Daphnia pulex: one gene and its partners. The protein of the gene in region 1 binds, or shares a complex with, the protein of each later gene. Links are inferred from orthologs where the notes say so. Each region holds a gene or a part of one and is shown on either strand. Other genes may lie near its edges. The genes, in order: U5 small nuclear ribonucleoprotein 200 kDa helicase-like, spliceosome-associated protein CWC27 homolog and pre-mRNA-processing-splicing factor 8.

Region 1 (3,752 bases):
GGTTTCTTTCCTCGAATGAACGAAGACGAGAATTTGATTCTTGCCGGCGTGCTCCATTACCTTCTCGTATACAATTTCGTTCATAATCTGATAACGCTTAACAGCTTTCTTCTCCGTGATTCCAACGTACTGCTGTTCCAAGGGTACAGGGCGGTAGCTGTTGTCGAAGAAGAATAGACCCGTCTTGGGTCGGACACGCAAGAAAGTGGCCACATCTTCGTAATTGGGAAGCGTGGCAGAAAGACCCACCAATCGCAAATCTTCTTGAGTGGATTCGACGGTGCGGATAGTACGAGCTACCAAGGCTTCCAAAACTGGACCACGGTCGTCGTGCAACAAGTGAATTTCGTCAAAGATCATCAACTTGACCAGTTGCGTGTAGGTTCGGTCTCCTGATTTGCGAGTGATAATGTCCCACTTTTCGGGCGTGCAGACAATCACCTGAGTTTGTGCAATTTCTTCACGGCTGAGTTGATGGTCGCCCGTCAATTCGGCAACTTTCAGGTTGAAAGGCGCCAGTCTTTTGCCAAAACTGCCCACCATCTCTTGTACGAGCGAACGCATGGGTGCAACGTAGATGATTTTGAATTCATCAACGCGAATTGTTCCGTCCGGATTGATGTACTTGCCCAATTCTCTCATCATTGTCAACAAAGCCACGTTGGTTTTGCCGGCGCCGGTTGGGGCGCAAATTAACATGTTCTCATCCGATTCGAGAGCTGTTTTATAGATTTTAGACTGGATTCTGTTGAGCGTTTTGAATCCTTCGAAAGCTGGTTGGGCGTAGGTTGGAAGTTTATCGATAGGAATAAGCATTTCATCAGCATCAAAAGGCCTAGGTTTCAATGGTGGCACATGAACTTCTTCGTAGCCTTTACGCTGTTTTCGGAAAGAACCTGCAATACAAGTCCATGTTTAAATTTTGATTGAAATTAAAAGATGAGAAACTAAATTATTATACCTTCTGGAAGTGTACACTTTTTGTTGGCCATGAAGTGAGAGCCCTGAGCGAATGCAAGATCCTCCAAGTCCAGTAGCTCTCGAAGACCTGGAATGCCACTGTACCCTTCCTGTCCTCCACCTCCGACTTCTTTGGAGGCAGAAGTACCTTGACGTGAACTCTTTTTAAAATCGACTTCCATCGGTTCGATTCCAGTGTCGTCCCTCACAGTATCTAATTGTCGAAGGATCTTGTTCAGATGGGGATTGCTCTTCATCTCGTCTTGAATGCTTCGACGTTCAGCTTCGCTCTGTGCGGATGCCAGTAACGAACAGTAAAGAATCATGTGTCTGTTTTGTTTAAGCAGCTTGATGAAGTCAAAGCAGTCAAAACCAAGCAAGACAACTAGCTGATTTTCACATTCTCTTTCATCCTGGATATTCTTGAGGATGTTGAGGACTTCACCGGCTCTGGCTTGAGACACCATGGGGTCACTGTAAAACTTTGACAGCTTCCTCTGAAGCCAATAGGCATCAATATCGAGGGGATGCAATTTCTTCTCTTTTTTACCGCCCAAATCGACGCCACTTGCGACAGCATCAGCATGAATGGCATGGTCTGTTTCAGCTTCATCAGCTTCATCCTCACCGTCATCTTCTTCTCCAATCTCTCCATACACATTTTCTTCTTCGTTTTCTTCGTCTGTGTCTTCAAATTGCACATTGATGCCATACTGGTCGTCCATTTGCTCTTCTCCAGTACCCATTTTCTCGTCTTGGCCCCAATCTGTGATCTTCTTACCCAGGTTAACGAGCAGGGCAAATCTTTCTTCTGGCAAGGAGCCAAGCATAGCCTCTGTTTCCTTTTTCTTCTCCTTATCCTTGAGCTTGTCGTTCTTGAGAACCGTGAGGACTTCATCAGCAGCACCACACAACACATCTCTGGGTTGATCACTCAACGCTTCCTGAATAAAACTGAGAAGCACTTCGTAAGTCTGTTTGGTGTCCTGCGTTTTGGGCCTGTAGATGATGCCAGAGATTTCATCCAGGTTGTCGCTTTGCAAAGGTCCTTTTCCACCATTTTTACCACCAATATCAGTTTTGTTGGGATCACGCTTCTGACGTTTTGCCGGTTTCATCCGTTGGGCTTTGTCACCCATGCGAGTTCCTTCCAACTTCCCAGTAAGGGACATAACCTCACCGGTGGCTTCATCTCGTGCTCGGCGATCGATTAAACGAACGTCAGCTTGTAAAACCAAATTAGAATTGGCTTTATACTCGTACTGGAGCGAACGTGCTGCGGCGTCCGCCATTTCTTACGGCTTGCTTTTAGACACTGACGAAAGTTTCGTATGCTGTTCGAACAGGCAATTGACAGCGTTGCCAGTTTGTAATAAAACAAAATTCAGAATTCGAGAGGAAATTTGTATATTGAAAAATTTAAAAATCTCGCCATAAAACTCTGGGTCGACACGCGCGAAAAAAGGGATAAAAAAAATACAGAAAAAAAGCAATTAAGAAACTAAAACACCATTTTTGTAAGGAGAAAAAACCAAACATTTTTCAAAAGTCCATCGGTCTTGAGAATGAAATGAGAAAAAAACACAGAAACAAAACCCCCCACTATGCGAACTACAAAGGAGATGGAAAAACAAAATCAGGTCTAAATAGGGTAAATCTATAAACGTTAAAATTCACGCAGCGTTATTGCAAAAATAACTCTAAATCGACGAAATAAAGAAACATTGGTAGAGAAAAAAGCCATCTAACGCTGTACAAAGCTTTTTTGAGAGTAACGCAGATATGAGGTGGGACATAGGGATGAAAACAATATTTTTTCAATGATGTTGTACGAGAGGTAATAACGACACCAGTCAGAGAAATCGTCACTGAGCTACGGCAGCCTGGTCAGTGGCAAGATACAAAACAACACTGCATCTTCACAACGAAAATTATGCACACACAACAACACGCTCCGGCATGAATTTGTCATAACAAATACGAAAGCCAATAATAATTAAAAAAATAAAAAATAAAGTCAAAACGTTTTTTTGTCTTTTGTCAAAAAGTTGCCCGCAAGTAAAAATGGTTTCAAACAATATCAACCGCCCAGCGCGCCAAGTGTCATAGATCTTTTGAGATCCGTCATCCGCACAAAAACTTGGCTCCTATTCCGCAATACATCCAGCACCAGACATCAAAATTTAAAAAAAAATTTCCTGTCGACAACAATAAAAAGAAAAATAGCCATGAAACAACAAAACACAATCAGACAAAGAAAAAGGAGGGGAGACGTTTGTTCCATGTCAAAATCAAGCGGAAAACGGATTAAATTTCTACAGTCGGAAATCCGAGCGGTTGTTTTTCTTTTTCTCGGAAAGGATTAAATAGTATATATATACGTACACATTGGGGTGTGGTATAGTCATTTGTTTCACTCGCCGAAGCGAGTGCAAGCCTTTTTCCATTTGCATTGAGTGCACCACTGCTCGCGGTGTTCCATTCCGTAAACCTTGCGGCACTTTTTGGCCTCGCCGCGGGGCCGACGAACGGGACTGCTCTTGACTGTAAAGACCGAAGCTCCGGTAGTAGATGGTGGCGCTAGTGGGGGCGCCGGTGAAGGAGACGTTTTGGGCGACACAACCACTTTGGCCTGTTTGAGCGCATTCTAGAATAATAACAAATAAATTTTAAAAAATTAGTGAAAATCTATAATTGACATTGATCACGGTCGTGTAGTTTAGTAGGGCGTGGCAACTTACCGAGCCATATCCGTAACCGGAAGACCATGAAATGCTGCGGACACGTGCCGG
Region 2 (3,752 bases), on another chromosome or scaffold:
CTGAAACTCCCCATTTGTATGCGCGGTTGTCTCAGATATATTTGTTTAAGGTTTACAATGATTGTTACGGAAAAACCCCAAAATAGGTGAAAAAGTCTAAAATTTGTCAGCCTGCCATACGTTCAGTGTGTCATGTCGCGTCATCGTCCGATAGGCGTTTCATCCGGCTTCATCCTCATCACGTTCACACGGTACTTGCGTTTCCTCTTGCTATTCGATTTTGTTGCGGTTGTTGTTCTGAAGCCTCCGTAAAGTTGCTTGCTAATTACATGCTAATAATAAGTATCGCAGCAGCAGATTCGTTTACCAAATTGGGAGAAAATAGAATTTGGAGAAAGCAGGCCATACTTTTATTGTTTGGTACATTGTGGTCATAGCTTCATCCATGACTTGGTTTGTCCTATTCCTTAGTCAATTAATAACCTTCAGCTAAAATACACAACTTTCCAAAAAAGAAACTGAATTTTCGTCTTTGCCTACTAAAAGTAGGTCGGGTTATTAAAAAAAAAAATTCCAGATTTCATAAAAGAAAATTTGTCAGGTTGATCGCGGTAAAGTTTAAGTTTTTAAATCTAATGTTTAAAATATATTTATTGTAATAAAAATACTCTTAGCACAGTAGAAAACAAGATACAAAGGCTTTCCTCACACTTTAGATTTTTCAGTTTCTATACCTAAAACAAAACGCAATTGAGATATTATAGCGGTAGGAATAGGAAGATGAGGAAAAAGGGTTTCTAGATCAAATTAAGGGTATGGAGCTATCCAGCAGATTTTTAATTTTTTACAGAAATGCAGATTTCAGTTTTGGGACATCACAGTTGAAATCCTGATCCCAAATTTTAAGAGAAAAATAATTAAAATGAATTTATTAACTAATTATTTCATGAGTGATAAAGAAATAGTTGGGAGAGATTTTTTGAAATTCCAAATCAGTAAATCACGAGCTTAGTTCTATGTGTGTCCTATAAGGAAATCTATTTTTACTAAATCCATACGATACAACGATAGTTATCGAATAAGACTGAAGATAAGTGAATTTTTCCGTCAGAAACTCAGAATTCAAGAGCGATAAATGTATGAGTATGGCCAGCATAGTATCAGGCAACTCTTATTTACAGTGCGTTGCAATCGTCTGCCACCAGTAGCGCTGTGAGTCGAAAGGATAAAATGGTTTGTTTGTTTAAAAAAAAACCAAACACAGTTCGCTCGAACTAGCAGCCAACAACTCCGAACTAGACATAGAACTGACATAGATGCTAGATTGCTACTACTACTAGCTTTGTCGAGCTACACATTACCTCTGCACATTATACACATCAAAACACGGAATTTTAATTAGTTTCATTTTGATTTTCTTCCTTTTTCTCCTCGATTTACAACAATGAGTAACATATACGTTCAAGAACCACCAACAAATGGAAAAGTTTGTATTCTTTTCATGTATCATTGATTGAACTACGTGCTAAAACGTAACTTTTGTTTAGGTTGTTGTGACTACTTCTCTAGGAGAAATTGAAATAGAACTGTGGAGCAAAGAATGTCCAAAGGCTTGCAGAAATTTTGTTCAACTATGCCTTGAAGGATTTTTCAATGGAACAATTTTTCACCGAGTGGTACCAAATTTTATTGCTCAAGGAGGAGATCCTTCTGGTAAAACTTAATAATGTGATCTGTTGTTATTTATATTTGATTGAAACAATTACCACCCCTTTTTCTTAGGGACTGGCCATGGTGGTGAAAGTATTTATGGGGAACCATTCAAGGTTACATAGTATTCATTTGAATAGAATTCATTATTTCAGTCTTTATTAACCTTTTACAATCTTTTGGTATTCAGAACGAAGTTCATTCACGTCTACGATTTGTCAGAAGAGGTAAAGCAAACATCTTCTGTGTTTTTATTACATAATGTACCATTTCAAACATCTTTTTAAGGATTGGTTGCAACGGCTAACACTGGAAACAATGACAATGAATCACAGTTTTTTTTTACCTTGGGTTCTTGTCCGGAACTGCAAAATAAGCACACAATTTTTGGTAGGGTTGCTGGGAATACTTTGTTCAACATGGTAACTGACAATTTGTTAATTACGCTGGGAACAAATTATTCAAGAAATTCTAATGTACAATTTTTTCTCTTTCTCATAGATCAAATTTAATGACTTGGATATTGATAGTGTAAGTATATTTAAATTTTGAAACTCAAATAATAAAATAATAAAATCAATAAAATCATAAACGCTATAGGAAGATAGACCTCGTCATCCACCTAAAATTTTTAAAACAGAAGTTATTTCTAATCCATTCCCTGACATTGAACCAAGGATTAGCCAAGAAAATATCAAGAAACCAGAGGAAATAAAATCTAAAATAAATAAAAAAAAGTATTAAGTCCAGCTATGTAATATTGTTATAACTGCTATAAGAGCTTGTGTTTGATTCTGTAGGAATCTTCAGCTGCTTTCCTTTGGGGACGAAGAAGAAGATGAAACAGATGTTCATCAGCCAACTAAGTCTTTTCGTGGGAAATCTTCTCATGAACTGACTAACGACCCTAAACTTAGCATTGTTCCTGCAGTCAACGTAGAAACGGGGTTAACAAATAAGTACGTTTAATAGAACAAGCCGTCAGATCATTTTCAAAGACTGTGTATGGTCTACATTCATATGTAAAATTTCCATGTCATATTTTCAGCGACAAACCGACAAAAATTGAACGGCAATTTGAAAAGGTTGTGCCTCAAACTGATTTGCAACCAGAAGTATCACCTGAAAGTGTAGATGTTGACATTTCGAACCAAAAGAAATCTGAAGCAAACAACAAACTGTAAGAAACAAACAAGTCATAACAATTACTTGATAGTTATGCTCATAAGTAAATGCTTTACTTTTAGAAAGCAAATCAAAGAACAGATAAGAGACTTGAAAAGGGAAATGAAAAACCCAAGTGAAACTCCTCAAGATCAAGAATTATCTAAGAAAAGAAAAATTAGCGACAGTGAAGAAGATAATGAAATACTTAAAGATTTTCATGAGCAGCAGAAGAAGTATGCGGACATAAAAACAACACGGCGAGGAAAGGGTAAATAGATCAATTGTTTAAAATATTTGTTACCTCATCATATCATCAACAAGTTTTAATATTCTATTTGGAATAGGCACGGACCGAGAAGCTGAAACCCTTAATTTCCTTAAAAAATTTCAGAGTAAGCTTAGCCAAACTCGGACAACGAAAGGAGGCGTTGATGATATTGATGACGTAAACGATGATGATGCATGGTGAGAAATAATTTTTTATCCCTATAAATTTGAAAATTGCAGAATTTCTTTATTTCTTTCTAGGTTGAATCACACGTTGAAATTCGAAGACAAAAATCCTTCGTTAGCCCGAGATGCTAATACAAAAAGTGATGATTGGTTTGAAATCTACGATCCCCGTAACCCCTTAAACAAACGAAGAAGAGAGGAATCAAAGAAGATCATGAAAGAGAGGAAATTCAACTAAAAACTAAAAATGATCTCCAGTTTTGAAATGCACATATAAAACTCACCTTTGTTTGTTAATCTCACCAATTTCTCTTTGATTCAACGAGCTTGAAAATCAGAAACAAATGTCACTTAGGCTTGCTGGAACATAAACTTGTGTGTCAATTGTAGCCAAAGTAGTCTGCACGCGTAAAGGAATTGTTATGTAAAGGAAAATTCTCCAAAATTTTTCGTGGGATCAATATAAACGGGATTGGTCACGA
Region 3 (3,395 bases), on another chromosome or scaffold:
CTTCTGAAAGCTGTGTGTTATAGATGGCATACCAAAGATAAAACTCCAATAACTTTGCTTCCTGTTTGAAGTGAACAACCGCAACAGCATTTAGTTAACTTGCAACACAGGCTACTGTTGTTGAACGCAAAAAATAAAGCTACAGAACTGAAATAACGAGGCATGATGATCACTGTTGGAATACAAGCAGGACTGCGAAACTGCCCTGCAAGTCTGCAACTGTCCGTGTTCACAAGACCACGTCAATAAGAGAACTGTCTCAGTAGGCGGTTTTGCTAACCCCTTAAAAGGTACAAAATGGGGAATAAATTTTTTTTAAGGGTTATGGTAATCAATTCAAGGTTGCATCTTAAAAAGTAATATTTTTCACCTGTGCATTAAAAGAACTCTGGGTGGGGAGAGGAAGGGTTAGAAAAACAAACTGAAATTGATTAAGTATTAGCTCTTGGCTGATTTCGTTGTTTTAACTTCTAGGACTTAATTATTCGTAAGCTAATCAATTCGTTAAGTTGTGTAAAGTACAAAAGGATGCTCTCTTGATCGATAGTAACTTCAGATCAAGGCAGATATGGAACAGAATGCAATGGAAACAAATTAAACGTTGCAGACGGAAATAAAATGTTTGCTCTATTGTATTCTGTTTAAATCGAATCAAACAGAAAGTACATTAAAACATGAAAAAAACTTCAAGTTATAAGAATTGGGAAGCAAAACACAAAGCTTGATTTCATGAGTTCCCAAACATATTATTTTCTATTTTCTCCGGCTATGTATTGGGAACGGGCCCCGGATGGAAACGAAAAAAGACCATACAAAAAAAAAATCAAGAAAATCAAGCGAACGAGTCATCACGATCTGCTCCGACACTGTCACCTTCCTCGATGGAGGAGAAATTCATGAAATGCGATGGCCGATGAACCTCGTGATAAAACTCCTTTGGATTGGCCAGGTGAAGTTCATACTTCATGTTAGGGTCGTGGCGAACACCCATGAAATTGTAGTTCCACGAGCCCTGGCAAGGGACCATGAAAAAGCCGAGGAATTGATCGGACAACAACATTTGCACTCGCTCGTAATGTGACGGTAGATAACCCTTGGGATTGTTGCCGCGATCCGTGTTCTGTTTGCCCCATTCAAAGCCGCTGGGCGTCAACTTGTAGGCCATGAGCGAACAAGAGCCAGGTGTGAAACTGCACGTAATGATCACAGTCTTCTCGCCATCCCAATTGGCATTGTCGGCCATCACTTTGGCGTGAGTTGTAATATCCTGTGGCGACAGTTGCGGCAACTCATTGGGTTGAGTGTGCATCCAGCCGAGTGGCTCCAGGTCTTTGAGGTACTCGTGCTGGGGTAGTTGGACGGGCAAGTGGATCGACTGATGCGTACCCCATTGAGGCGGCATCACAATGCAGCGAATCTCCTTCACCTGAGGATTGTCAGGTGGACTGATGCCGTAAAGGTATCCCGCAATCTGCGCTCTCAAGTCGGAAATGGTGACAAACTTTTTCAGCACGTTCTTGGGTAGAATGTAAGTGTAGCCCGTCTCTTTAATGTCGTCCGATGAAACGTAAATGTGATTCGTTCGGAGGTGGAGGTTGGTGGCCGAAATGGCTCGGATTCTCCATTCGGTCTTGGAGCTGAATGTCTGCGTCTCGTAATTGGAAGTGGTGCTCGTGATGATTTCGTCACCATGTTTGTTGACTGTTCGTGTCGTCGTAGCTGTCAGCTGCGTCTGCTCCTTGGTCTGCTTCTCGATTTCGGCAATCTGCTGACGTTGGGCCGAAGGGGCACTGATCTCCATACCGAGAATGATGTCTCGAATTTCAGACTGTGTCAGCGAAGCCACGTTGACGTTGTTCTTCTTGCCGTAATCCGCCAGGATGAGATCCTTGAGTTGCACTTCAACTTTGATCCATTGCTCGTCCGTCAGTGAGGGCCAAATGTGGTGGGCTTCGGTGATGGTGGTCTTGTCCGGTTTCAGCACCACCTTGGTTCGGTCATTGTTCACGTGAAGGGCGCGCAGAATAAGAATAAGACGGGAGAATGCCGTGTAGCTGGAAATGGTTTTCAGCCAATCGTCGTAGAGGTTGAACAGGACCATCTGGGGTTCGGTCGCCTTCAAAATCAAATCACCAAACTTCTCGACTTTAAGGCAGGCCTGGAAGGGAAGCTGGAGCTCAGAGCCCTTGATGACAATGTTGGGGAAATCCAGCAAATGGACTTCGAGGGGATCCAACATGCCCTTTCGTGTGACGATGATCTGTTTGGGCTGTTCTTCCACGGGCAACGATCGAATCAGGGCGGCAACTTCTTCGGCAGTCTTCCACTTCGCCAGCTGACCCAAACGCTTCTGACCGGCCCATACGGACGTGTGAATAATCTTGAGGAAAAGCTGACCAGTACGAGGATTGAAGATGAAAATGGCTCCGTTAATGGGTTTGGTCGTCAAGTTGCCTTCGAAGGTCTTGTGGATCGTGACACGGTAGACGTTTGTATCATCGACGAACCAAATGATTTGATTGGAGAACAATTCGCCGTAATTCTGCGATGACAAGTAAGGTTCCGTCGGCTCAGAAGAATACAGCTGGAGACCTTTGCGGATACGTTCGCGCAAGACGTAGAGAGCAGGATTGGCCTTCATGATCTTCGCCATGGCTTGTTGGATAAGCGGCTTGGATCCAGGGAACCAATTGCCGTATGCACTGTGCAAATTGTAGGCCAAATCCAGGGCAATCAGGACACCAGTCGGCGACGGATAGATGGACATGTTGTCTGTCGTGTAGTCGAGGAATTTAGCACGAGAATAACGTTCAATGTCGTGGGAATCGTAATCGCCCCAACGCAGCTGGACATCAATCCAGTATTTTTGTGTGGTGGTATTGTCCATGACATCACGAGAGTCAGCCAAAAGGGATGGCCGAGAAACGTTCCACTTGTACCTGAAAAAACAAAATGAAGAACATGTAACAAATATTACAACAAGGAAAACACAAGACAGAAAAATAAGTTCCACTTACGAGGCGAAGAGAAGGATGTCGGCGCAGGAAGAGTTCATCTTGTAAGATTTACGGGGATGAATAGTTTCTTTCTGCACAGTTTCAATCTCCAAAGCGTCAAGTTCCTGATCGAAAACTTGACAAAGATCCATCACGACGGATTCGTGGATCTTCTGCCACAAATGGGCACGGAAAATTTGAATCAAGGAAATCTTCAACGTCGGGATTTTGCCGTGCATGAAAATGCCAGTCAAATCGAGTTGGACCTGGAAACCAACGTAGACGTTGGCTCGGTTGATGGTTGGCGACCACCACAGAGTGAACCGACGGTTGGGAATTTGATTCAAACCGGAACGCTGGGCATTAGTCAACTTCTTGTACTTCATCGACTCTTCGAAA

What was found.
Region 2: U5 small nuclear ribonucleoprotein 200 kDa helicase-like (region 1) and spliceosome-associated protein CWC27 homolog share a complex: the UniProt entries of both Homo sapiens proteins name them as parts of the minor spliceosome. The link is inferred for Daphnia pulex from reciprocal best matches to the Homo sapiens genes SNRNP200 and CWC27.
Region 3: the proteins of U5 small nuclear ribonucleoprotein 200 kDa helicase-like (region 1) and pre-mRNA-processing-splicing factor 8 are in contact, whole or in part, in a cryo-EM structure (PDB 7OS2), measured with the Homo sapiens proteins. The link is inferred for Daphnia pulex from reciprocal best matches to the Homo sapiens genes SNRNP200 and PRPF8. Residues at the interface, in NP_054733.2 of Homo sapiens: Pro543, Met544, Arg545, Ser546, Thr570, Gly571, Thr589, Glu591, Lys592, Ile595, Arg624, Arg728, Lys729, Glu773, His786, Ala787, Thr814, Glu837, Tyr992, Thr1008, Ser1010, Ile1012, Leu1041, Glu1042, Arg1043, Val1044, Pro1045, Ile1046, Pro1047, Val1048; in NP_006436.3 of Homo sapiens: Trp2073, Arg2074, Ala2077, Ile2078, Ala2081, His2084, Asn2109, Lys2113, Tyr2168, Glu2171, Met2172, Arg2266, Leu2268, Gly2269, Phe2270, Gln2276, Arg2287, Leu2298, Ala2299, Asn2300, Glu2303, Glu2307, Arg2310, Pro2311, His2313, Phe2314, Leu2315, Asn2316, Phe2317, Ala2318.

The regions. Positions count from the first base shown.
Region 1 is NC_060022.1:2,647,098-2,650,849, forward strand, and holds the start of U5 small nuclear ribonucleoprotein 200 kDa helicase-like, read right to left. Parts: upstream 2,298-3,752; 5' UTR 2,253-2,297; coding exon 962-2,252; intron 955-961; exon of another isoform or gene 949-954; intron 897-948; coding exon 1-896. Other genes in the region: zinc finger protein 704-like, read right to left, coding at 3,374-3,607, 3,702-3,752. UniProt on the Homo sapiens protein: Catalyzes the ATP-dependent unwinding of U4/U6 RNA duplices, an essential step in the assembly of a catalytically active spliceosome. Plays a role in pre-mRNA splicing as a core component of precatalytic, catalytic and postcatalytic spliceosomal complexes.
Region 2 is NC_060020.1:8,996,560-9,000,311, forward strand, and holds spliceosome-associated protein CWC27 homolog, read left to right. Parts: upstream 1-989; 5' UTR 990-1,384; coding exon 1,385-1,426; intron 1,427-1,487; coding exon 1,488-1,653; intron 1,654-1,722; coding exon 1,723-1,766; intron 1,767-1,840; coding exon 1,841-1,877; intron 1,878-1,938; coding exon 1,939-2,072; intron 2,073-2,151; coding exon 2,152-2,181; intron 2,182-2,250; coding exon 2,251-2,387; intron 2,388-2,450; coding exon 2,451-2,609; intron 2,610-2,698; coding exon 2,699-2,830; intron 2,831-2,897; coding exon 2,898-3,085; intron 3,086-3,161; coding exon 3,162-3,282; intron 3,283-3,345; coding exon 3,346-3,508; 3' UTR 3,509-3,553; downstream 3,554-3,752. UniProt on the Homo sapiens protein: As part of the spliceosome, plays a role in pre-mRNA splicing. Probable inactive PPIase with no peptidyl-prolyl cis-trans isomerase activity. As a component of the minor spliceosome, involved in the splicing of U12-type introns in pre-mRNAs.
Region 3 is NC_060027.1:2,056,620-2,060,014, reverse strand, and holds the end of pre-mRNA-processing-splicing factor 8, read right to left. Parts: coding exon 3,018-3,395; intron 2,940-3,017; coding exon 833-2,939; 3' UTR 615-832; downstream 1-614. UniProt on the Homo sapiens protein: Plays a role in pre-mRNA splicing as core component of precatalytic, catalytic and postcatalytic spliceosomal complexes, both of the predominant U2-type spliceosome and the minor U12-type spliceosome.